Pelodiscus sinensis: one gene and its partners. The protein of the gene in region 2 purifies or fractionates together with the protein of the main gene of each other region. This does not show direct contact. Links are inferred from orthologs where the notes say so. Each region holds a gene or a part of one and is shown on either strand. Other genes may lie near its edges. The genes, in order: RAD23B, SEM1 and UBE3C.

Region 1 (7,117 bases), on a different chromosome or scaffold from region 2:
TTTGCTCAGTTACATCTCTACAGTGATCCAATATTTAGCAACTGAAGAAACCATTCTTCTTCCCCATCCTCCAACACCTAGCCAATACTGTACTTCTATAATCTCAAATGCACACACAGCTTGTCTAGCTGGCAAACCTACTCCCCTAATCTGCTCCTTGCAGAGGTTTCCTAGGACCTCAGAGTTGCTCCAAATCACTCAATATGATGAGCAGGGGAGAAAGGGAATAAAAAGAGAAGGCAGCTCTCCGTGTAGGGATTAATTATAAAGGCTAGTGTTTTAAGCTTATGAAGGACTCTACTGTGTACATTTAAATTAGACATTCTCCCTCAGCCAACTTGTCTAGACCCAATCACCCTTGTGAGCTGGCTGCAGCCACCCTTCACAACACTCCATTTTTTCTTTTACTTTGGGGGGGAGGGTGTTTAAACAATCAGGCCTAGGGAAATAGTAAGGCAGAGTCATGGTTTCATTGCTCAGTCCTAATGGGCAAGGATTGGAAAAGATCCACTACAATCCAAATGGGGTGTTAGATGGCATCAGGATTGGTATAACACGGGGAAACTAGCTCCAAAAGGCTGCATCCACACTCCTCTTTGAAAGGGCACCTAGTCCCCCTCCAATTTTGGAAGTGCACTAAGTACCTAATCTTCCTCTTAGTCACACACACTATTCCCATATGAACTGGACTTTGCAATAACATCTGTCCCCCAGCATCTTGCAGAGAAGCACTCACTAGAGTAGTCAGTAGATTTACCCCACTTACACACCCCCACTAAAGAGCAGTCACTACAACTAATGTCAAAAAGGCTAGTAAAATCAGACACACCCCAACACACACCCCGCCTCCTGTAGCAGAAGCTTGTGTATCTCCATTCACACCCAGCAGAACCAGTAACCACTCCCAAAATACTCCCTTCACAGAAGAGAAGTAGACACAATAACCTGCACCCCTGAGCAGCCAATAGTCTCCACGCATTCACCAACCCCACAGACATACACAGGCCCCTTCCTGAGCCTCCCAACGCAGGCAGCCTCACCCAGCAGAAGTGCTCTAGTCACCCCAATGCCACCCACAGATACCCAAGCCCTGCAGAAAGGGTCGTCACCACCACACACAAGCTGGGGCTGCAGCTAACCTCCCCCCCTTCCCCTCATACCCAACCCCCTTCCTCACCCCCCCATGCCCAGCCCCCTTACCCCAACGCCTTCCTTACCCTAACCCCTCTTAACCCAACCTCCTCCCTCACCCCCCATGCCCAACCCCCTTACCCCAACCCCTTCTTCACCCTAACCCCCTCTTACCCCAGCCCCCTCCCTCACCCCCCATGCTCAACCCCCTTACCCCAACCCCCTCCCTCACCCTAATCCCCTCTTACCCAACCCCTCTTACCCCAGCCCCCTCCCTCACCCCCCCATGCTCAACCCCCTCCCTCACCCTAATCCCCTCTTACCCAACCCCTTCCTCAACCTAACCCCCTCTTACCCCAGCCCCCTCCCTCACCCTCCATGCTCAACCCCCTCCCTCACTTCCCCACGCCCAACCCCCTCCCTCACTCCCCCATGCCCAACCCCCTTACCCCAACCTCCTCCCTCACCCCCCTTACCCCAACCCCTTCTTCACCCTAAACCCCTCTTACCCCAGCCCGCTCCCTCACCCCCCATGCCCAACCCCCTTACCCCAACCCCTTCTTCACCCTAAACCCCTCTTACCCCAGCCCCCTCCCTCACCCCCCCATGCTCAACCCCCTCCCTCACCCTAATCCCCTCTTACCCAACCCCTTCCTCAACCTAACCCCCTCTTACCCCAGCCCCCTCCCTCACCCTCCATGCTCAACCCCCTCCCTCACTCCCCCACGCCCCACCCCCTTACCCCAGCCCCCTCCCTCACCCCCCCATGCTCAACCCCCTTACCCCAGCCCCCTCCCTCACCCCCTTACCCCAGCCCCCTCCCTCACCCCCCCATGCTCAACCCCCTTACCCCAGCCCCCTCCCTCACTCCCTTACCCCAGCCCCCTCCCTCACCCCCCCATGCTCAACCCCCTTACCCCAGCCCCCTCCCTCACCCTCCATGCTCAACCCCCTCCCTCACTCCCCCACGCCCAACCCCCTTACCCCAGCCCCCTCCCTCACCCCCTTACCCCAGCCCCCTCCCTCACCCCCCCATGCTCAACCCCCTTACCCCAGCCCCCTCCCTCACCCCCTTACCCCAGCCCCCTCCCTCACCCCCCCATGCTCAACCCCCTTACCCCAGCCCCCTCCCTCACCCCCTTACCCCAGCCCCCTCCCTCACCCCCCCATGCTCAACCCCCTTACCCCAGCCCCCTCCCTCACCCCCCTTACCCCAGCCCCCTCCCTCACCCCCCCATGCTCACCCCCCTTACCCCAGCCCCCTCCCTCACCCCCTTACCCCAGCCCCCTCCCTCACCCCCCCATGCTCAACCCCCTTACCCCAGCCCCCTCCCTCACCCCCTTACCCCAGCCCCCTCCCTCACCCCCCCATGCTCAACCCCCTTACCCCAGCCCCCTCCCTCACCCCCTTACCCCAGCCCCCTCCCTCACCCCCCCATGCTCAACCCCCTTACCCCAGCCCCCTCCCTCACCCCCCTTACCCCAGCCCCCTCCCTCACCCCCCCATGCTCAACCCCCTTACCCCAGCCCCCTCCCTCACCCCCTTACCCCAGCCCCCTCCCTCACCCCCCCATGCTCAACCCCCTTACCCCAGCCCCCTCCCTCCCTCCCTCCCTCACCCCCTTACCCCTCCCCCCCCGCCGGGCGGGCGCACCGTGTGCTCGGGGTCGATGTCGATGCGGAAGGTCTGCTGCTGCAGGGTTTTCAGGGTGATCTGCATGGCGAGGCCGCGCCCCGGGGCCCGGCCCGGCCGCCCCGCGCTCGCGGCCTGCGCCTCCCGGACCCGCTCGCGCTGCCTCAGCCCCGGCGCGCGGGGGAGGGGGGGGCGCCGCTCGCTCGGCTGGGCGCGCGGGAGGGGGGCGGGGGCGCGCGGGAGGGCGGGGGCAGGTCTCGCGCGCCTCACGGCCTGGCCGCCGCCATCATGACTCGCCTCCGCAGCCCCCTGCACAAGACACCAGGAGGGAGCGGGGAGGCGCAGGGACACGCTCCCCCTGCGCACGCGCGGGAGGCCGGCGGCCTGGGGCGCATGTGCGGGGCGGAATTCGGCGCGGGCGGGGGAGGAGCGAAGGGGGAAGTGGGAATGGGGGGGGGAGGGGTTCGGTTGTGGGGCTGGGATTTGGGGAGTGGGTGGGGGGATAGGGAGGCGTTGGGAGTGGGGGCTGCTGGGGGGGTCGGTTGCGGGGGGGAGGGGATGAGGAGGGGGAAGAGTAGGGGGGGTTGGGGATTATGGGCAGATGGGGGGCTGGGATTGGGGAGGGGTTGGGGATTATGGGCAGATGGGGGGCTGGGATTGGGGGAGGGGTTGGGGATTATGGGCAGATGGGGGGCTGGGATTGGGGGAGGGGTTGGGGATTATGGGCAGATGGGGGGCTGGGATTGGGGAGGGGTTGGGGATTATGGGCAGATGGGGGGCTGGGATTGGGGGAGGGGTTGGGGATTATGGGCAGATGGGGGGCTGGGATTGGGGAGGGGTTGGGGATTATGGGCAGATGGGGGGCTGGGATTGGGGAGGGGTTGGGGATTATGGGCAGATGGGGGGCTGGGATTGGGGGAGGGGAGGGGATTATGGGAGAGGGGGGGCTGGGATTGGGGAGGGGTTGGGGATTATGGGCAGATGGGGGGCTGGGATTGGGGGAGGGGTTGGGGATTATGGGCAGATGGGGGGCTGGGATTGGGGGAGGGGTTGGGGATTATGGGCAGATGGGGGGCTGGGATTGGGGAGGGGTTGGGGATTATGGGCAGATGGGGGGCTGGGATTGGGGGAGGGGTTGGGGATTATGGGCAGATGGGGGGCTGGGATTGGGGGAGGGGTTGGGGATTATGGGCAGATGGGGGGCTGGGATTGGGGGAGGGGTTGGGGATTATGGGCAGATGGGGGGCTGGGATTGGGGAGGGGTTGGGGATTATGGGCAGATGGGGGGCTGGGATTGGGGGAGGGGAGGGGATTATGGGCAGATGGGGGGCTGGGATTGGGGAGGGGTTGGGGATTATGGGCAGATGGGGGGCTGGGATTGGGGGAGGGGTTGGGGATTATGGGCAGATGGGGGGCTGGGATTGGGGGAGGGGTTGGGGATTATGGGCAGATGGGGGGCTGGGATTGGGGAGGGGTTGGGGATTATGGGCAGATGGGGGGCTGGGATTGGGGGAGGGGTTGGGGATTATGGGAGAGGGGGGGCTGGGATTGGGGAGGGGTTGGGGATTATGGGCAGATGGGGGGCTGGGATTGGGGGAGGGGTTGGGGATTATGGGAGAGGGGGGGCTGGGATTGGGGAGGGGTTGGGGATTATGGGCAGATGGGGGGGCTGGGATTGGGGGAGGGGTTGGGGATTATGGGCAGATGGGGGGCTGGGATTGGGGGAGGGGTTGGGGATTATGGGCAGATGGGGGGCTGGGATTGGGGGAGGGGTTGGGGATTATGGGCAGATGGGGGGCTGGGATTGGGGAGGGGTTGGGGATTATGGGCAGATGGGGGGCTGGGATTGGGGGAGGGGTTGGGGATTATGGGCAGATGGGGGGCTGGGATTGGGGGAGGGGTTGGGGATTATGGGCAGATGGGGGGCTGGGATTGGGGGAGGGGTTGGGGATTATGGGCAGATGGGGGGCTGGGATTGGGGGAGGGGTTGGGGATTATGGGCAGATGGGGGGCTGGGATTGGGGAGGGGTTGGGGATTATGGGCAGATGGGGGGCTGGGATTGGGGGAGGGGTTGGGGATTATGGGCAGATGGGGGGCTGGGATTGGGGGAGGGGTTGGGGATTATGGGCAGATGGGGGGCTGGGATTGGGGGAGGGGTTGGGGATTATGGGCAGATGGGGGGCTGGGATTGGGGGAGGGGAGGGGATTATGGGCAGATGGGGGGCTGGGATTGGGGGAGGGGAGGGGATTATGGGCAGATGGGGGGCTGGGATTGGGGAGGGGTTGGGGATTATGGGCAGATGGGGGGCTGGGATTGGGGGAGGGGAGGGGATTATGGGCAGATGGGGAGCTGGGATTGGGGGAGGGGTTGGGGATTATGGGCAGATGGGGGGCTGGGATTGGGGGAGGGGAGGGGATTATGGGCAGATGGGGGGCTGGGATTGGGGAGGGGTTGGGGATTATGGGCAGATGGGGGGCTGGGATTGGGGAGGGGTTGGGGATTATGGGCAGATGGGGGGCTGGGATTGGGGGAGGGGTTGGGGATTATGGGCAGATGGGGGGCTGGGATTGAGGGAGGGGTTGGGGATTATGGGCAGATGGGGGGCTGGGATTGGGGGAGGGGTTGGGGATTATGGGCAGATGGGGGGCTGGGATTGGGGGGGGGGTTGGGGATTATGGGCAGATGGGGGGCTGGGATTGGGGAGGGGTTGGGGATTATGGGCAGATGGGGGGCTGGGATTGGGGAGGGGTTGGGGATTATGGGCAGATGGGGGGCTGGGATTGGGGGAGGGGAGGGGATTATGGGCAGATGGGGGGCTGGGATTGGGGAGGGGTTGGGGATTATGGGCAGATGGGGGGCTGGGATTGGGGAGGGGTTGGGGATTATGGGCAGATGGGGGGCTGGGATTGGGGGAGGGGTTGGGGATTATGGGCAGATGGGGGGCTGGGATTGGGGGAGGGGTTGGGGATTATGGGCAGATGGGGGGCTGGGATTGGGGAGGCGTTGGGGATTATGGGCAGATGGGGGGCTGGGATTGGGGGGGGTTGGGGATTATGGGCAGATGGGGGGCTGGGATTGGGGGAGGGGTTGGGGATTATGGGCAGATGGGGGGCTGGGATTGGGGAGGGGTTGGGGATTATGGGCAGATGGGGGGCTGGGATTGGGGGAGGGGTTGGGGATTATGGGCAGATGGGGGGCTGGGATTGGGGGAGGGGTTGGGGATTATGGGCAGATGGGGGGCTGGGATTGGGGAGGGGTTGGGGATTATGGGCAGATGGGGGGCTGGGATTGGGGGGGTTGGGGATTATGGGCAGATGGGGGGCTGGGATTGGGGGAGGGGTTGGGGATTATGGGGAGATGGGGGCTGGGATTGGGGGAGGGGTTGGGATTATGGGGAGATGGGGGGCTGGGATTGGGGATTATGGGGAGATGGGGGGCTGGGATTGGGTGAGGGGTTGGGATTATGGGCAGATGGGGGCTGGGATTGGGGGAGCGGTTGGGATTATGGGGAGATGGGGGGCTGGGATTGGGGTAGGGTGGTGGCTGGGAAGGGGGAGGAGTTGGGGGGATGGGAAGGGCTGCTGGGGGCACGGTCGGGATTGTGGGTTTCGGCTGCTTAGGGAGGGAAGGGACTCGGGCTGGAAAGGGGGTGCTTGGGGAGCTGGGATTGGGGATGGGGCTATTGGGAGCTGAGTTTAGGGAATGGGATTGGGTGGGGGTGAGTCTGCTGAGGAGCTGGGTTAGGGCTTGGCTGCTGGGAGCGGGAAGGGGTTGATGGGCTGGAAAGGGGCTGCGCGGGTGGGGAGGCGGGATTGTGGTTGCAAGGGAAGGGGCTGTTGGAAGGAGCTAGGATGGAGGAGAAAAGGGGCAGATTGGGGTGGGGGTCTAGGATTGGGCATGAATGAAGAGCAGTTGAGACGGGAGAAGAGCTGGTATCCATGGTCCCTGCCTGGCTGCTACCTCTGTAGAGTGTTATACAACATAATACAAAGGAGCCTGAGCACATGGAAGTTTGGAACGAGCATTAGGCATGGAGGGGACCTGTTTGCCATATTTTGATTTAAAAAAAATCTGTGGAGCTTAAAGATGCCTGTATCTGTCTCTGTAACTCATTAACTCCACCCTTTTTTATCCTAGGACTAAATATAGGGACGTTAACAGGCCACTTCACCTTGTATGTTGGATCTAAGACTAAGACGGGTCTATACCACAGGCCTATGTTGCTCAGGAGTGTGACAAATTCACACACCTAAGCACCGTAGTTTTAAGTGCCTGACTCTATGTAGGCAGCACTATGTTGGTGGGAGAGCTTCTCCTATCAGCATAGCTACTGCCTCTCAGGGAGGTGGAT
Region 2 (7,076 bases):
CAGTAAGAGGGGCTGACAGGGGTGGGGCTGGTCACAAGAGCCAGTGCAGTGCCCATTGTGTTCATGTGTGGCAGCTGGGGGATGCGCAGAAGTCCCCTTCAGAATCTCCACCTACTTCCTCATCTTTCTCTAACTAAACCTGCCTTTCCTCAAGCACCAACATTCAAGGTTAAATAAAAAAAATATTTTGACCGTATTTCATTAAAAATATACTGTATTTCAGCTACATTATGGATTAAATAGGCTTTCATGGGCTAGCCTGGGAACCTAACCACCTGACATTGTTTCTATGGGAAAATGTGTTCCGAATTCCAAACAACTGACTTATAAACAAACTTTTGGAATTCAAGCTGTTCATAAGCTGGGGAGTTCCTGTACTAGGAAGAGAGGGATGGGTGATGGGGATGGCATTAAAAAATGGAAGAGGAAAGAATGGCAAAGAAAATCATCAGACAATGTAGCTGAAGAGAGTGGGAAGAGGAAAGGAAATGATGGTGAGAGATGGCTGTTGGGGAGAGGTAAATGGAAAGGCTGGAAGGAGGGATGGTGGGAGCAGTGTGGGAGGTGGCAGTGGCAGAGGTGAGGAATCAAGTGCGGGCTGGAAGGAGAATGTGGGACTGGTGGGGAGGCAGCAGTAGCCAAGGGGAAGGAGCAGTGTGGGGTGGAAGGAAAATGTTGATGCAGGGTGGGAGGTGGCAGTGGGAATGGAAAGGGGAAGATGCAAAATGGAGGGAAGGCAAGGCAGCAGTGGCTGAGAGGAGGGAGTAGTGCAGGTGGGAAGGGGGGTGCAAGAAAGGGAAAGGCAGCACTAGGAGGGAAGAAGGGAGCAGGGAGCAGCGATGGCTATGGGGAGGAAGAAGTGGGGGTGGGAAGAGGTGGGAGCAGAGAGAGGCAGCAGTGGCTGAAGGAAGGGAGCAGTGGAAGGGAAGGAGGAAGCGGGGGTGGCAGTGGCTATGGGGAGGGAGCAGTGGGGGAAAGGAGGGAGCAGTGGGAGGTGGCAGTGACAGAGAGGAAGGAGCAGTGGGGCAGGGGCAAGGCGGCAGTGGCAGACGGGAAGGAACAGTGGTGGGAGCAGGGGGGAGGTAGCAATGGCTGAGGGGAGGGAACAGCGGGGGTAGGAGCAGAGGGGAGGCGGCATGACTGAGGGAAGGGAGCAGGGAGAGGCAGCAGTAGCTAAGGGGAGGGAGCAATGGGGAGGTGGCAGTTGCTGAGGGGAGAAGCAGAGGGAGGCAGCAGTGGCTGAGGGGAGGGAACGGGGGAAGTGGCAGTAGCTGAGGGGAGGGAGCAGGGAGAGGAAGCAGTGGCTAAAGGAATGCAGCAGTTGGGCTGGGAAGAGGGAGTAGGGGAGAGGTGGAAGTGGCAGAGGGGAAGGAGCAGTGGTGTAGGGAGAAGGTGGCAGTGGCAGAGGGGAAGGTGGCAGTGGTGTAGGGAGAAGGCAGCAGTGGCAGAGGGGAAGGAGCAGTGGTGTAGGGAGAAGGTGGCAGTGGCAGAGGGGAAGGTGGCAGTGGTGTAGGGAGAAGGCGGCAGTGGCAGAGGGGAAGGAGCAGTGGTGTAGGGGGAAGGCGGCAGTGGCAGAGGGGAAGGAGCAGTGGTGGTAGGAAACAGGTGGAAGCGGGGGGAAGTGGCAATGGCTCAGGGGAGGGAGCAAGGGGAGGCAGCAGTGGCTGAGGGGAGGCAGCAGCGGGAGGCGGCAGTGGGGATGGGAAGAGGGTGGGAGCAGGGGGAAGTGACTGTGGCTGAGGAGAGGGAGCAGGGGGAGGCGGCAGCAGGGGTGGGAAGAGGGTGGGAGCAGGGGGAAGTGACTGTGGCTGAGGAGAGGGAGCAGGGGGAGGTGACAGTGGGGGTGGGAAGAGGGTGGGAGCAGGGGGAGGTGACAGTGGGGGTGGGAAGAGGGAGGGAGCAGGGGGAGGTGACAGTGGGGGTGGGAAGAGGGTGGGAGCAGGGGGAGGTGACTGTGGCTGAGGGGAGGCAGCAGCGGGAGGCAGCAATGGGGGTAGGAAGAGGGAGGGAGCAGGGGGAGGTGACAGTGGGGGGTGGGAAGAGGGAGGGAGCAGGGGGAGGTGACAGTGGAGGGGTGGGAAGAGGGAGGGAGCAGGGGGAGGTGACAGTGGGGGGGTGGGAAGAGGGTGGGAGCAGGGGGAGGTGACTGTGGGTGAGGGGAGGGAGCAGGGGGAGGTGACAGTGGGGGGTGGGAAGAGGGTGGGAGCAGGGGGAGGTGACTGTGGCTGAGAGGAGGGAGCAGGGGGAGGTGACACTGGGGGGTGGGAAGAGGGAGGGAGCAGGGGGAGGTGACAGTGGGGTGGGAAGAGGGAGGGAGCAGGGGGAGGTGACAGTGGGGGTGGGAAGAGGGTGGGAGCAGGGGGAGGTGACAGTGGGGTGGGAAGAGGGAGGGAGCAGGGGGAGGTGACTGTGGCTGAGAGGAGGGAGCAGGGGGAGGTGACAGTGGGGGGTGGGAAGAGGGTGGGAGCAGGGGGAGGTGACTGTGGGTGAGGGGAGGGAGCAGGGGGAGGTGACAGTGGGGGGTGGGAAGAGGGTGGGAGCAGGGGGAGGTGACTGTGGCTGAGAGGAGGGAGCAGGGGGAGGTGACACTGGGGGGTGGGAAGAGGGAGGGAGCAGGGGGAGGTGACAGTGGGGTGGGAAGAGGGAGGGAGCAGGGGGAGGTGACAGTGGGGGTGGGAAGAGGGTGGGAGCAGGGGGAGGTGACAGTGGGGTGGGAAGAGGGAGGGAGCAGGGGGAGGTGACTGTGGCTGAGAGGAGGGAGCAGGGGGAGGTGACAGTGGGGGGTGGGAAGAGGGTGGGAGCAGGGGGAGGTGACTGTGGGTGAGGGGAGGGAGCAGGGGGAGGTGACAGTGGGGGGTGGGAAGAGGGTGGGAGCAGGGGGAGGTGACTGTGGCTGAGAGGAGGGAGCAGGGGGAGGTGACAGTGGGGGGTGGGAAGAGGGTGGGAGCAGGGGGAGGTGACTGTGGGTGAGGGGAGGGAGCAGGGGGAGGTGACAGTGGGGTGGGAAGAGGGTGAGAGCAGGGGGAGGTGACAGTGGCTGAGAGGAGGGAGCAGGGGGAGGTGACAGTGGGGGTGGGAAGAGGGTGGGAGCAGGGGGAGGTGACTGTGGGGGTGGGAAGAGGGTGGGAGCAGGGGGAGGTGACTGTGGGGGGTGGGAAGAGGGTGGGAGCAGGGGGAGGTGACTGTGGGGGGTGGGAAGAGGGTGGGAGCAGGGGGAGGTGACTGTGGGGGGTGGGAAGAGGGAGGGAGCAGGGGGAGGTGACAGTGGGGGGTGGGAAGAGGGTGGGAGCAGGGGGAGGTGACTGTGGCTGAGAGGAGGGAGCAGGGGGAGGTGACTGTGGGGGGTGGGAAGAGGGTGGGAGCAGGGGGAGGTGACTGTGGCTGAGAGGAGGGAGCAGGGGGAGGTGACAGTGGGGGGTGGGAAGAGGGAGGGAGCAGGGGGAGGTGACTGTGGCTGAGAGGAGGGAGCAGGGGGAGGTGACAGTGGGGGTGGGAAGAGGGTGGGAGCAGGGGGAGGTGACAGTGGGGTGGTGGGAAGAGGGTGGGAGCAGGGGGAGGTGACTGTGGCTGAGAGGGGGGAGCAGGGGGAGGTGACAGTGGGGGTGGGAAGAGGGAGGGAGCAGGGGGAGGTGACAGTGGCTAAGGGGAGGGAGCAGGGGGAGGTGACAGTGGGGGTGGGAAGAGGGAGGGAGCAGGGGGAGGTGACAGTGGGGGTGGGAAGAGGGAGGGAGCAGGGGGAGGTGACAGTGGGGGTGGGAAGAGGGAGGGAGCAGGGGGAGGTGACAGTGGGGGTGGGAAGAGGGAGGGAGCAGGGGGAGGTGACAGTGGCTGAGGGGCAGCAGTGGGGCAGGGGAGGAGTGGGAGGGCACACGAAGAAGGGGGAGGGACTAGCTGTGCGCAAGAGGAGAGGGAGGGGCGGGGCTCGCTGTGCGCGAGAAGGGAAAGAGCGGGCGGGGCTGGAGCGATTGAGGGAGCAGTGAATGCGGGGAGAGGCAAGATGCTATCGCCGACTGACCAACCGAGAGACTCCGTTACGACGCATGCGCCGTTTCAAGCGCTGAGTCCGCCAGCATCCCGTCATGCCCCGCGGGGCAGTCGAGACGTAACCCCGCGGCCGGCTCGGACGCTAGAGCGGCAGTGGCCCAGGCGGATCATGTCCGAGAAGAAGCAGCCTGTGGATCTGGGGCTCCTGGAGGAGGATGACGAGTTCGAGGAGTTCCCGGCTGAAGGTGACGGCTCGGGGTTTGCCGTGGGGCCGGGGCCCGATGGGGGGGGCGCGGAAGGGGGGTGCCGGTGCCGGTGGGGTTGGGCCTCGGCTCCCTGCTCGGGCACTTGGCTCCGTTCCGCGCACAGCTGCCCGGGCTTAGTCAGCGCGCGGTGGGGCTGGCTCGCCTCCCTGCGCCGGGCCTAGGGACCGGGCTGGCGTTGCTCGCCTTTCCTGTGGGCTGCCCCATTCGTCGAAGCGAGCCCCCTGGAGCCCTGCACCCCCAAGCGCGGGTCGAGCCGCTGGCTTCTCTGCAGCCTTTCCCCAGCCGGCGGCTTTCCACACCACGTGGAGATTTCCCGTTGCAGAAACCCATGCTTGTTACTGGCTCACTTAGCCCGAGTAACTTTCTGTGAGCTCGGGCCCGTCTGCCTGCCATGCTCACAGTCCCATTCTGCCAAATCCTGACAATGTGTCTTGTCCGTGTGTGTCGAACTCTGAAAAACGAATCTGTTCTCATTAACGTTTTAAATGTATTAGGGAATAATGCAGACACATTTGTCATGCATACAGTGTTGTTTTGTGAAAGGCATTCCTAAGCCTAGACTAGCATTTTTTTCCTAATCAGAAATAAAATGTGTTCAGGAAATTCATCAGCATTCCATGTACTCAGAGAACCTCAGAGCTTCGACAGATCTGAAGAACATAGGGAAAGGGACAGCTTGGACCCCTGATTTCACTTCCTTGGACTAGAGGTGGTCAGTCCCCTTTGCTGACAGACTTTGGGGTCTGTCAGCAGATTGCCTGGGCTCCCCTGCTCTAGGGGGCTGCCAGGACTCTGTGGCGCAGCTGCAGGTCCAACAAGTTGTGACACCAGAGAAATTCAGTCTGTAGTAAAGTCTCAGAGGGGTAGCAATGTTAATCTGTAACTTAAAAAAAAAAGTGGTCCTGTTGTACCTTAGAGACTAACAAAAATTGTATATTGTATCAAGAGCTTTCGTGGGCACAACACTCATCCGAAGAAGTGGGGAGCAAGAGCCTGGCTGAAGCCTATCTCACTTTAAGCAGTTAACTGGTTAAACATTATGTTTAACCAGTTAATTGATTAAACATGATTTTACATCCCTTAGAACTAATGTGTTTCATGTTGCTGGACTTCATTAGGATTGCTTGATTTTTGCCATCATACACAATGGCTAAGAACAAATACAAACAAACATTTTGTCTAGATGACAAGATTAATAAGGGGAAGGAAAAGGAATAATGATGGATGTAAAATGAGGTCATGTGAGAGTAATAAAAGGATTCAATTACAGTAGTGGATAGCAGCTTTCTTTATGAAGTCTAAATCTTGACACACAAATTCCACTGCATTTTGATAAAAAGCTAGTGAATAAGTCTTACCTGGATTTTACTACAACCCTTCATATGTGCAGAAAAACAGTGTTATTAATAAGGAACTTTCTCTTTCAGTCTTGTAAATAAAAATGTTGTCTTAGGGATGTTAATGTGTTTATTTTGGTGAATATGTGACTGCTGAAAGTTCCAGCAGTTACACGTTTACACACCGGAGGGAGAGGAGGGACTGCTATCCAGACAGAGGCAGCAGGGTGAATGAGGGGGGAGGCTGCTCACTGCTCCTACCGACTCTGGTGCTGCTGCCTCTGATACAGAGGCAGCAGTACAGGGAAGGGTGGGGAGAGGCAGCTTTGCAGGAGCTGGTATGTGCTAGCTTTCTGTGAGCCCAGGCGGCTGTGTGTAACTCTGAGCCCTGGCTTCTCAATTAACCATGTACACATTTATGCTTTCACATCCCCAATCCTAGATTTCATCTTGGAAGACTTCAGAATAGACTTCAGAATAATGCATGATTGTCCATTTTCCTCAAGTCTTTAAAAGTTCTGCTGATTAAAGGGATGGCTTATATTGGTTAATGAAGGGAATTGCTCACATGTAGATCAGGGATTCTTAACCTTTTTCTTTGAGTACCCCCACACCTCCAACGTACTGTTAAAAACTCCATGGCCCACCGGTGCGGCAACAACTGTTTTTTCTGCATATAAAATCCAGGGCCAGTGTTATGGGGTAGTAAACAGAGCAGTTGCATGGGGCTCCATGCCACAGATTGTCCCATGAAGCTTAGTTGTTCAGGGTTCAGCCCCGGGTAGTAGGGCGTGGGGTCTGGGATTCGACCCGCTTTGTTGAGGCTTTCACTTTCTTGGGCCTCCGTGAATGTAATGTTGGCCCTGCTTAATGGTTTCCCTGAAACCAACTTGCAGGCCCCAGACTCGTGGTTGAAAACTACTGGTGTAGGTCATGTTGGGTAGGGAGGTGTTCACAATTTTTGTTATGCTGTCTTCCTCATACTTGGTGTACATTTGGAAGCCATAAAGTTATCAAATAGGTTTTATCAAATATAATATTTCCAGGAAAATCTTTAAAAACAACAAATAGTGTGGTAGCACTTTAAAGAATAACAAAACATGTAGGTTAGTAATAGAAATGTAGCCGTGTTAGTCTGGTGTAGCTGAAGCAAAATACAGGACTATGTAGCACTTTAAAGACTTTATCCTCCCCCCTCCCCCCCGCATCCCCTCCTGTTCTGAAATGTGACTTGTCCTTTTCATGTGTGTTCATTTTTTTTTAATTGTATCCTTTGGTATATATGGTTGTGACTATTTTCTTCCACTACTTGATCTGAGGAAGTGGGTCTGGCCCACGAAAGCTCATCATCTAATAAACCATCTTGTTAGTCTTTAAAGTGCTACATAGTCCTGTATTTTGCTTCAAAACATGTAGGTGGTATTGTGAGCTTTTGTGAGCACAGCTGGTCTTCTGAAGAAAGGGGCTGTGCCCACGAAAACTCATAATA
Region 3 (7,542 bases), about 29 Mb from region 2:
ATGAGGAATCCTGTGGCATCTTAAAGACTAACAGATTTATTTGGCATAAGCTTTCATGGATCAAAACCACTTCATCAGATGCACGTGACTATGCTAGTATAGTTTATGAACCTAGACTACAAGTGTTTTGCTACTTTGGCTATACAGGAGGCCCCCAACTTGCAACGCAATTGGTTCTGGGGGAAGCACTGCAAGACGGGGGTGTCGTAACTTGATCCTCATTTACAATAGGCACCATGTGCCATCGTAAATGTGGGCCAAAGACGTAAGTTGGGCGGTTCCAGCCCCTTCCACACTTGCAAAAATGGTTGTAAGTGCAGGGGTCAGAACTCAGGCGGTCGCAAGTCTGGGGCCTCCTGTACCAACATAACTATACCAGCAAAATATCCCTTGAACATCTTAATTTTAAAACTAGACAGTCTGTATACATAAACAGTACCATTTATTTGAGCTCAAATCCTGCAATTGTATCAATCATGCACCCATACACAGCTTGGCTGGACTTCAATGGAGCTCTGCACTGGTGCCAGGCTGCCTGGGTACTAACTTTTGCAGGATTAGAGCTTTTAACTGATTTTTTTTTTAAAGTACTTGGGGATGGGATAGTTTATGCCAAAGAATAGTTCAAATTTTCAGAAAGAGTTGAGACAAGAAACTGATTTTGGATTTTGTACAGCTGGAACCCATTAGTATTGGGGAAATTACCCACAAAAATCTATTACGTAGTATCAGAAAAAATAGCAAAATGCACAATTCCTAAACTCCATGAAAATATTTGCCAAACTAATATATCTACTATAGCATGTCATGTTATGCAGAAAGTGTGATAATCTATATTTTTCATGTGACATGACAAATTTTAATATTAACTTCACCAAATCCTGTACTTTTTTAAAAACACGCATCTATATTAGAGCCTCCTATGGTGCCCATATTCATATTGAAAACTGTGAGTAACTTTACTTGATTAGACCCACTGATAACACAAGCACTAAATAGATCTATAAGGTCAGATACTTGCACAAAAGTGGAGCTACTTAAGTCAATTACACCCACCCATCTAGATCAGATTGCAGAAGTGGTGTGGGTATGGGACAGAGTTGTATACTCAATCTCGGCTTTCACATTTCCTTAATTTTTGAACATTTATCCTGGCAAATTTACCCATATAGGAATTTAAACTTTGTGTGTGTTAATTTAGAATATATGAGAACAATATTATTCTAATCCACCATGATTAAAAATCCAATTGCAATTTGCATAAACTAGAGAAAATAATAACAGTATTAGAAGATTATATACTTTTTTCTCTTTCTGGAGCAGGAAAAATTCTTTTAGCAATCATAATGCGATGCCAAGGGATGTAAAATACCTAAAATACATTCCTGAAGAGCAGGGCATGCTCTGCCAATTACCACTATTACCTATTAAGATTTATTCTACTTTTGGCATACAAAAAACATAATGTCATGTATGTGGTCTAATGACCATAAATGGCTTTTAGTCATCAGAGATGTCAAAAGAAGGTAGTTTCTCCATAATTCAAGTGAATAGTTACACACACTTAATACAGTTATGATGTACATTTTCTTTATGAAAATATGCAGCAGACAATACTGTGATAGTAAATTCACAGTGAACTTTTCTATCAGGTAACAAGTTTCTCTTATTAGGAGAGACTTAAAAGCTTACTGCCAAACCTGGAGTCCCAAAACAACAAACACTTTCCCAAATCTTTATTTGTTGAACAATAAAACAAATACACTACACCAACGCTCAAACAGCTAACCCCATTATAATGATCATGACAGTCAGAACTTGAATCTAACTGATTAACCAGGGATGCACACCTCATCAATCAAACTGCTTCCAAAAACTTTGTTTTGGAATTTGGTCTGAGAATTCTGTGGCTGACAAAAGTTACTTATAGTCTTTCCAACCAGCAAGCCTTAACTAAACCATTTAACGTCCTTTTAGGCAATACTCTAGTAAAACAACATCATCTACTGACTGCTCCTTACTCAGCACATGACACACTGATTTCAGTTTGCCATTTGAATGCAAACTCGGTGGTGAAAGGGGTAAAATCGGGACCTGACAACCCTAAACCATTTGTGATGGAGGCCCCTGGAGCTTCCATTAAGTTTTACAAGCATTTCCGTCCCCCATGATTGGCGCATGATTTTTGTTGTGTGTTTCAATTAAGTCTTTTCTTTAAAAGACACGACAGACATTCTTAACTATTTCCCTTCACTCAAAGCGCCCTAGAAACTATCTGCTCCAAGCGTGGTTCCCACAACAAACCGGATCACTTGGAGGGGCGGAGGAGGGGGAGTCAAAGAGGAGTAGTGTAATTTCTCTCGCATACTTGTGAATGCACCTGGAGCTTTGAGGGGTGCGTGGCCTGATTTAAAACACAAAAACACACCCTCTCTGGGAGTGGGGACAGGTTTTGTTGGCCCCGAGGAGCCCTGAGTCACACCTGCTCCATTTGAAGGCCCAGCAGCGGGGCGCAAAAAGCAAAGCAGGCAGGCGAGGGACATCAGCCAGGATACAGAATTCAGAGAGACCCAGCGCGGCTCTTACCTTCCTACTTGCTCCTCCAAGAGACACCTTGGGCCTGGTTTTGAAATCCCCTTCGAAGCTGAACATGGTTACAGCTTATCCCATCGAGAGCGGCGTCCCCGCTGCCTCCCAGGCTGACGCTGCACCGGGGCCGCGAGCGGGGCTGGGGAATGGGCAGCCGCTGCCCGCCCAGGGGAGGCACCAGCCCGGCCACCCCAGTGCCACCTTCGCTGCTGCCTCCTGCGGCGATCGCCGGGCGACCCCCGGCCGGGAGGGGCTGCTCTCCCCACACACACACCCACTCGCTCCCTCGCTTCCCTAAGCCCCCCCTCTCGGACCACCAGCTACTGCTCCGGGCGGGGGGAGGGGGCTGGCGCGGCTGCTTCACTTGCACTACGAATCAGCCGGCTCCGGAGAGAAGATGGCCGCCGACCAGCTCCCTCTGCGCGTTCCCGCGTCCCAGCCAATCGGCGCGCGGCCCCGCCGCAGCCGCCCGGAACGCGCGCGGGCTGCCTGCAGCGCGCGCCCGGCCCCCTGGAGCTCGTCAGAGGCCCAGCCTCAGGGCGCTGGTGGCCGTGCCGCCCCGCGTCGGTGGCGCAGCCCCTCGGCACCCGCCAGCCGTGGCCACGGCCCGGGAGCGGGGATGAGCACCGTGAAGGAGCCTGTGCTCTAAGCAGGGCCCTTCCTGGCCTCAAATCCACCCCGCCGAGCCCTTTGCCCCTTCAGCACAGCAGCGCTGTAGGCAGGCCCGCTCAGAGAACGACAGAGGGCTGGGCCACTTTGAGTTCAGCGGCGCCTGCCCAGCGCCCTGACCTAACTTCTCATCCACAGGGTCATACTAAGGGGACTACACTAAAACCCAAAGACTATATGAAAACGAACACTTGAGACGTGTTTATTAACAAGACCATGTATATTAAAAATGTAACTTTAAGTGTGAGTTTCCACTGCCAGCAAAACTCTTCATTTTAGCAATGCTTTTTCTGGCTTTGTTGGGTGCACACTTGTTTATATTTGAAGAAAAATCTAATGTATGTGCAACCTCACCTTTTATGTTAAGCATGGCGAGCCCACTCAAATGCTCTTGTCCCATTGTAGAACCATAGTTCTTCACTTGTTTTAACATGTTGACTGTGCATTCAGCCATTGATGCAGGAAGACTGACAAAAATAGGTAATGCAATTGTGATACTAAGAAATACAGTCGACAGGCCAAGATCGAATATTTCTGGAAGCAGTTTTTGGCTTGCAGTCTGATTTAAAGTAAGCGGAATGTATATGTTTCAGGAAGACGGTCTTGTGTCAGAGCTTTCTTGACATTTCATTGTACATTTCTTGAGACTGCTCTGCTGCTGAATATAGATCTTCATCACTTAGTTCTCTGAACTCCCAAAGGAATCTAAAAAAGGTACAAATTTGTAGTAGTGACTCAAATAGACGTGTAAGACCAGATTTGATGGAGTCAATAATAAAAAAAAAATGACTCAATAGTGCCTTTATGCATCAAATTGAGATGTTAGGGTGTGATTGGTGGAAAACTCAGATGAAATGTCAATATCCCATGCTACTGATTTGGACTCAAAGGATTGCATTCCATTGATCACAAATCTCTTGAATATCTGTAAGAAGTCATTCAGTGCTATCCCTCTCAACATCTAATGTAGCATTGCGTGCTTCAATTACAAGATTAGTTTCATGGATCATTTGTAGCAGCTTCATCCATATGGATGACATTAAAATGCATTCAGATTTGGATATATACTTCTCTGCTGACATAAACTCAGTGCAAGCCTGTTCTGTGAGAGTAAAAGATTCAATCTGCTTTAGAATTTCCCAATTTTGAGGACTGCTACTGGAAGAGGTTGTAAAACTGTTGGATTGTTCCAAAGTATGTGATTGCTTCCTTGCATGATTCAGAGCAATCAATGCCGATAAGATTTAGTGCGTGGTTGCCACAACTGGAGAAAATTCAGTTTGGATTTTGCTCAAGAAGGACTGCTTGTCCTCCATTGTACTTCCCAGTCATATTGGATCCATTGTCATAGTCTTGGCCAATGCAGACTTGAAAATGGAATTTGAAGCCTTCCAGAATTTCTAATACATGAGCAGCGATTTATTTTCCAGTTTTTTTGTGAAATTATCAAACAAAATGAATTGTTCTTCAATTGAAACCTTTGAACTTTCTGAAGTTTTAACAAATTGAACAACCAAGGTCATCTGTTCTTTATAAAAACAGTTTGGAGTTGCATCAATAATAATTTAAAAGTATTTCGCATGTCATATTTCTTCAAGAATTGTTGTTTGCACAAATGTTCCACACAGCTTAATAAACTCATTTTGTATTCTAGTAGACAGAAAATGGACTTGCATGCATTTTCCGCTCTCTTGTGATTCACGAACACGCATAACATGGCCTGATAAAAGTGGGTCATATTTGCTAAGAATCTCAAGTAGACCAAGTAAGTTTCCGTTTGTAGGGTTACCCATACAATGACTGGAATCAAACAAAGCCAATCCCCATTCAGAAAGAAAAAGAATGACATTCAAAACCAGCTCAAGGAGTTTTTTCTATTTATCATTTTCTGTATCATCTCCCTTCGGAAGAGTTTTTGTCAGCAAATGAGTGGGAAAAGCATGATTTTCAGCATCTTTCGGTATACAACTTGGAATCTGAAAACAATTAACTTAGAGAAATGACTGCATTTGAGCAAAAATGCAAGAAGTCCAATATCAGGTTCTGATGCCGCTGTTGTTATACTATGTCCTGTGCTAGTCATAAGTTCTTGCTTTTGCTTCATAACATCTCCAAGGTTCTCATTTTCTGCCTGTACAGTCTCTAAATCGACGCAGATTCTGCATCTCTCGCTACCATTTACTCATTTTGAGTTATTATTTACTCATTTTGAGGTAGCGGCATTGAATTGTCATTTGTGGGTACAAAGTTTTCATCATCAGAACTGGAAGTGTCATTGTCAGTATATTAGATGATGAGCTTTCGTGGGCCAGACCCACTTCCTCAGATCAAATAGTGGAAGAAAGTAGTCACAACCATATATACCAAAGGATACAATTAAAAAAATGAACAAATATGAAAAGGACAAATCACATTGCAGAACAGGAAGGGGATGCAGGGGAGGGGAGGGAAGGAAGGAAGGTAAGTGTCTGTGAATTGATGATATTAGAGGTAGGGAGAGTGGGATGTTTGTGAGTTAATGGTATTAGAGGTGATAATTGGGGAAACTATCTTGGTAATGGGTGAGATAGTTCAAGTGTTTGTTGAGTCCTTTTTGGAAAGTGTCGAATTTTAACATGAATGACAGTTCAGAGGATTCCCTTTCAAGTGCAGATGTAAAAGGTCTTTGTAGCAGAATGCAGGTGGTTAAGTCATTGAGAGAGTGTCCTTTCTGGTTAAAATGGCACCTACAACCCCCAACTTAAACCTGTCCAACACATTATCAATAAACTACAGCCTATACTGGAACAGGATACCATACTCAAAGAGGCTCTGGGAGACAGACCCATAGTCTCCTATAGACAACCACCTAACCTCAAGATGATTCTTACCAACCACCACAGGACATACCACACTAATACCAACCCTGGTACCTTCCCTTGCAACAAACCCCGTTGCCAGCTTTGTCCACATATTCATTCTGCTGATACCATTATTGGACCTAACCAAGTGAGTTATAAGATCAAGAACACATATTCCTGCGCATCCAGAAATATAATCTATGCTATCATGTGCCGAAAGTGTCCGTCTGCTATGTACATTGGACAAACATCTCAGACACTTCGCCAAAGGATTAATGCCCACAAAACAGATATCAGACAAGATCACAAAGAAAAAACAGTTTCTTGCCATTTTAACCAGAAAGGACACTCTCTCAATGACTTAACCACCTGCATTCTGCTACAAAGACCTTTTACATCTGCACTTGAAAGGGAATCCTCTGAACTGTCATTCATGTTAAAATTCGACACTTTCCAAAAAGGACTCAACAAACACTTGAACTATCTCACCGATTACCAAGATAGTTTCCCCAATTATCACCTCTAATACCATTAACTCACAAACATCCCGCTCTCCCTACCTCTAATATCATCAATTCACAGACACTTACCTTCCTTCCTTCCCCCCCCCCCCCCCCCCCGCATCCCCTTCCTGTTCTGCAATGTGATTTGTCCTTTTCATATTTGTTCATTTTTTTAATTGTATCCTTTGGTATATATGGTTGTGACTACTTTCTTCCACTATTTGATCTGAGGAAGTGGGTCTGGCCCACGAAAGCTCATCTAATAAACCATCTTGTTAGTCTTTAAAGTGCTACATTGTCCTGCATTTTGCTTCAGCTACCCCAGACTAACACGGCTACATTTCTATCACCATTGTCAGTATAGTTTGTCTAATGATTGAGGAGTCTTTTCTACAAGAAATTATGCTATTGGCATTAAACTCTTAACTGCCGTTTCACTTTTGCTTTCGCCATGTCTTACTTGCACCACTTTCAAATCTTTGCTTCATTTTTATAAAGGGGTTCTTTTAAAACGTAGTAATACATAGTACATTAATTTGCCAAAGGCTATTGGTTATAAAGTTTTAATTTTATATATTTTGCAATGAATATTATGTAGCAGCTGTTTGGGGGTGTTATTTATTATGGTCCTTATAGCCTTATTTCAAAGTCTTGAATATGTTCCCATTATTAAATTCCTCTAATAACAGGTGCATTATTATGAATATAAACATGGGGCGATTGCCTGATTAGATGTAAAGTCTATTAAACAACTAGAATTAAAAGTTTATTATCACAAAAAAGCCTTTAAAGGTGAATCTAAAACTGGACAAAGAGGTAGTTTACAGCTGAGCCTGATATGGTTATTGTATACGAAGACACATAAAAAAAACAGGAATATGAAAATCTCCTATGCATAGATAAACATCTAATTTACAGGTTAAAGTCACCTTCACACCAAG

Evidence for each region.
Region 1: the proteins of SEM1 (region 2) and RAD23B purify together in Homo sapiens (co-immunoprecipitation; 3 studies listed by BioGRID and IntAct, with this or other methods). This does not show direct contact. The link is inferred for Pelodiscus sinensis from reciprocal best matches to the Homo sapiens genes SEM1 and RAD23B.
Region 3: the proteins of SEM1 (region 2) and UBE3C purify together in Homo sapiens (affinity purification with western blotting; 3 studies listed by BioGRID and IntAct, with this or other methods). This does not show direct contact. The link is inferred for Pelodiscus sinensis from reciprocal best matches to the Homo sapiens genes SEM1 and UBE3C.

What each region holds. Positions count from the first base shown.
Region 1 is NC_134716.1:6,186,342-6,193,458, reverse strand, and holds the start of RAD23B (UV excision repair protein RAD23 homolog B), read right to left. Parts: upstream 3,066-7,117; 5' UTR 2,852-3,065; coding exon 2,786-2,851; intron 1-2,785. UniProt on the Homo sapiens protein: Multiubiquitin chain receptor involved in modulation of proteasomal degradation. Binds to polyubiquitin chains.
Region 2 is NC_134712.1:210,643,400-210,650,475, forward strand, and holds the start of SEM1 (26S proteasome complex subunit SEM1), read left to right. Parts: upstream 1-4,070; 5' UTR 4,071-4,153; coding exon 4,154-4,229; intron 4,230-7,076. UniProt on the Homo sapiens protein: Component of the 26S proteasome, a multiprotein complex involved in the ATP-dependent degradation of ubiquitinated proteins.
Region 3 is NC_134712.1:240,091,804-240,099,345, forward strand, and holds the start of UBE3C (ubiquitin-protein ligase E3C), read right to left. Parts: upstream 3,030-7,542; 5' UTR 2,653-3,029; coding exon 2,587-2,652; intron 1-2,586. UniProt on the Homo sapiens protein: E3 ubiquitin-protein ligase that specifically catalyzes 'Lys-29'- and 'Lys-48'-linked polyubiquitin chains.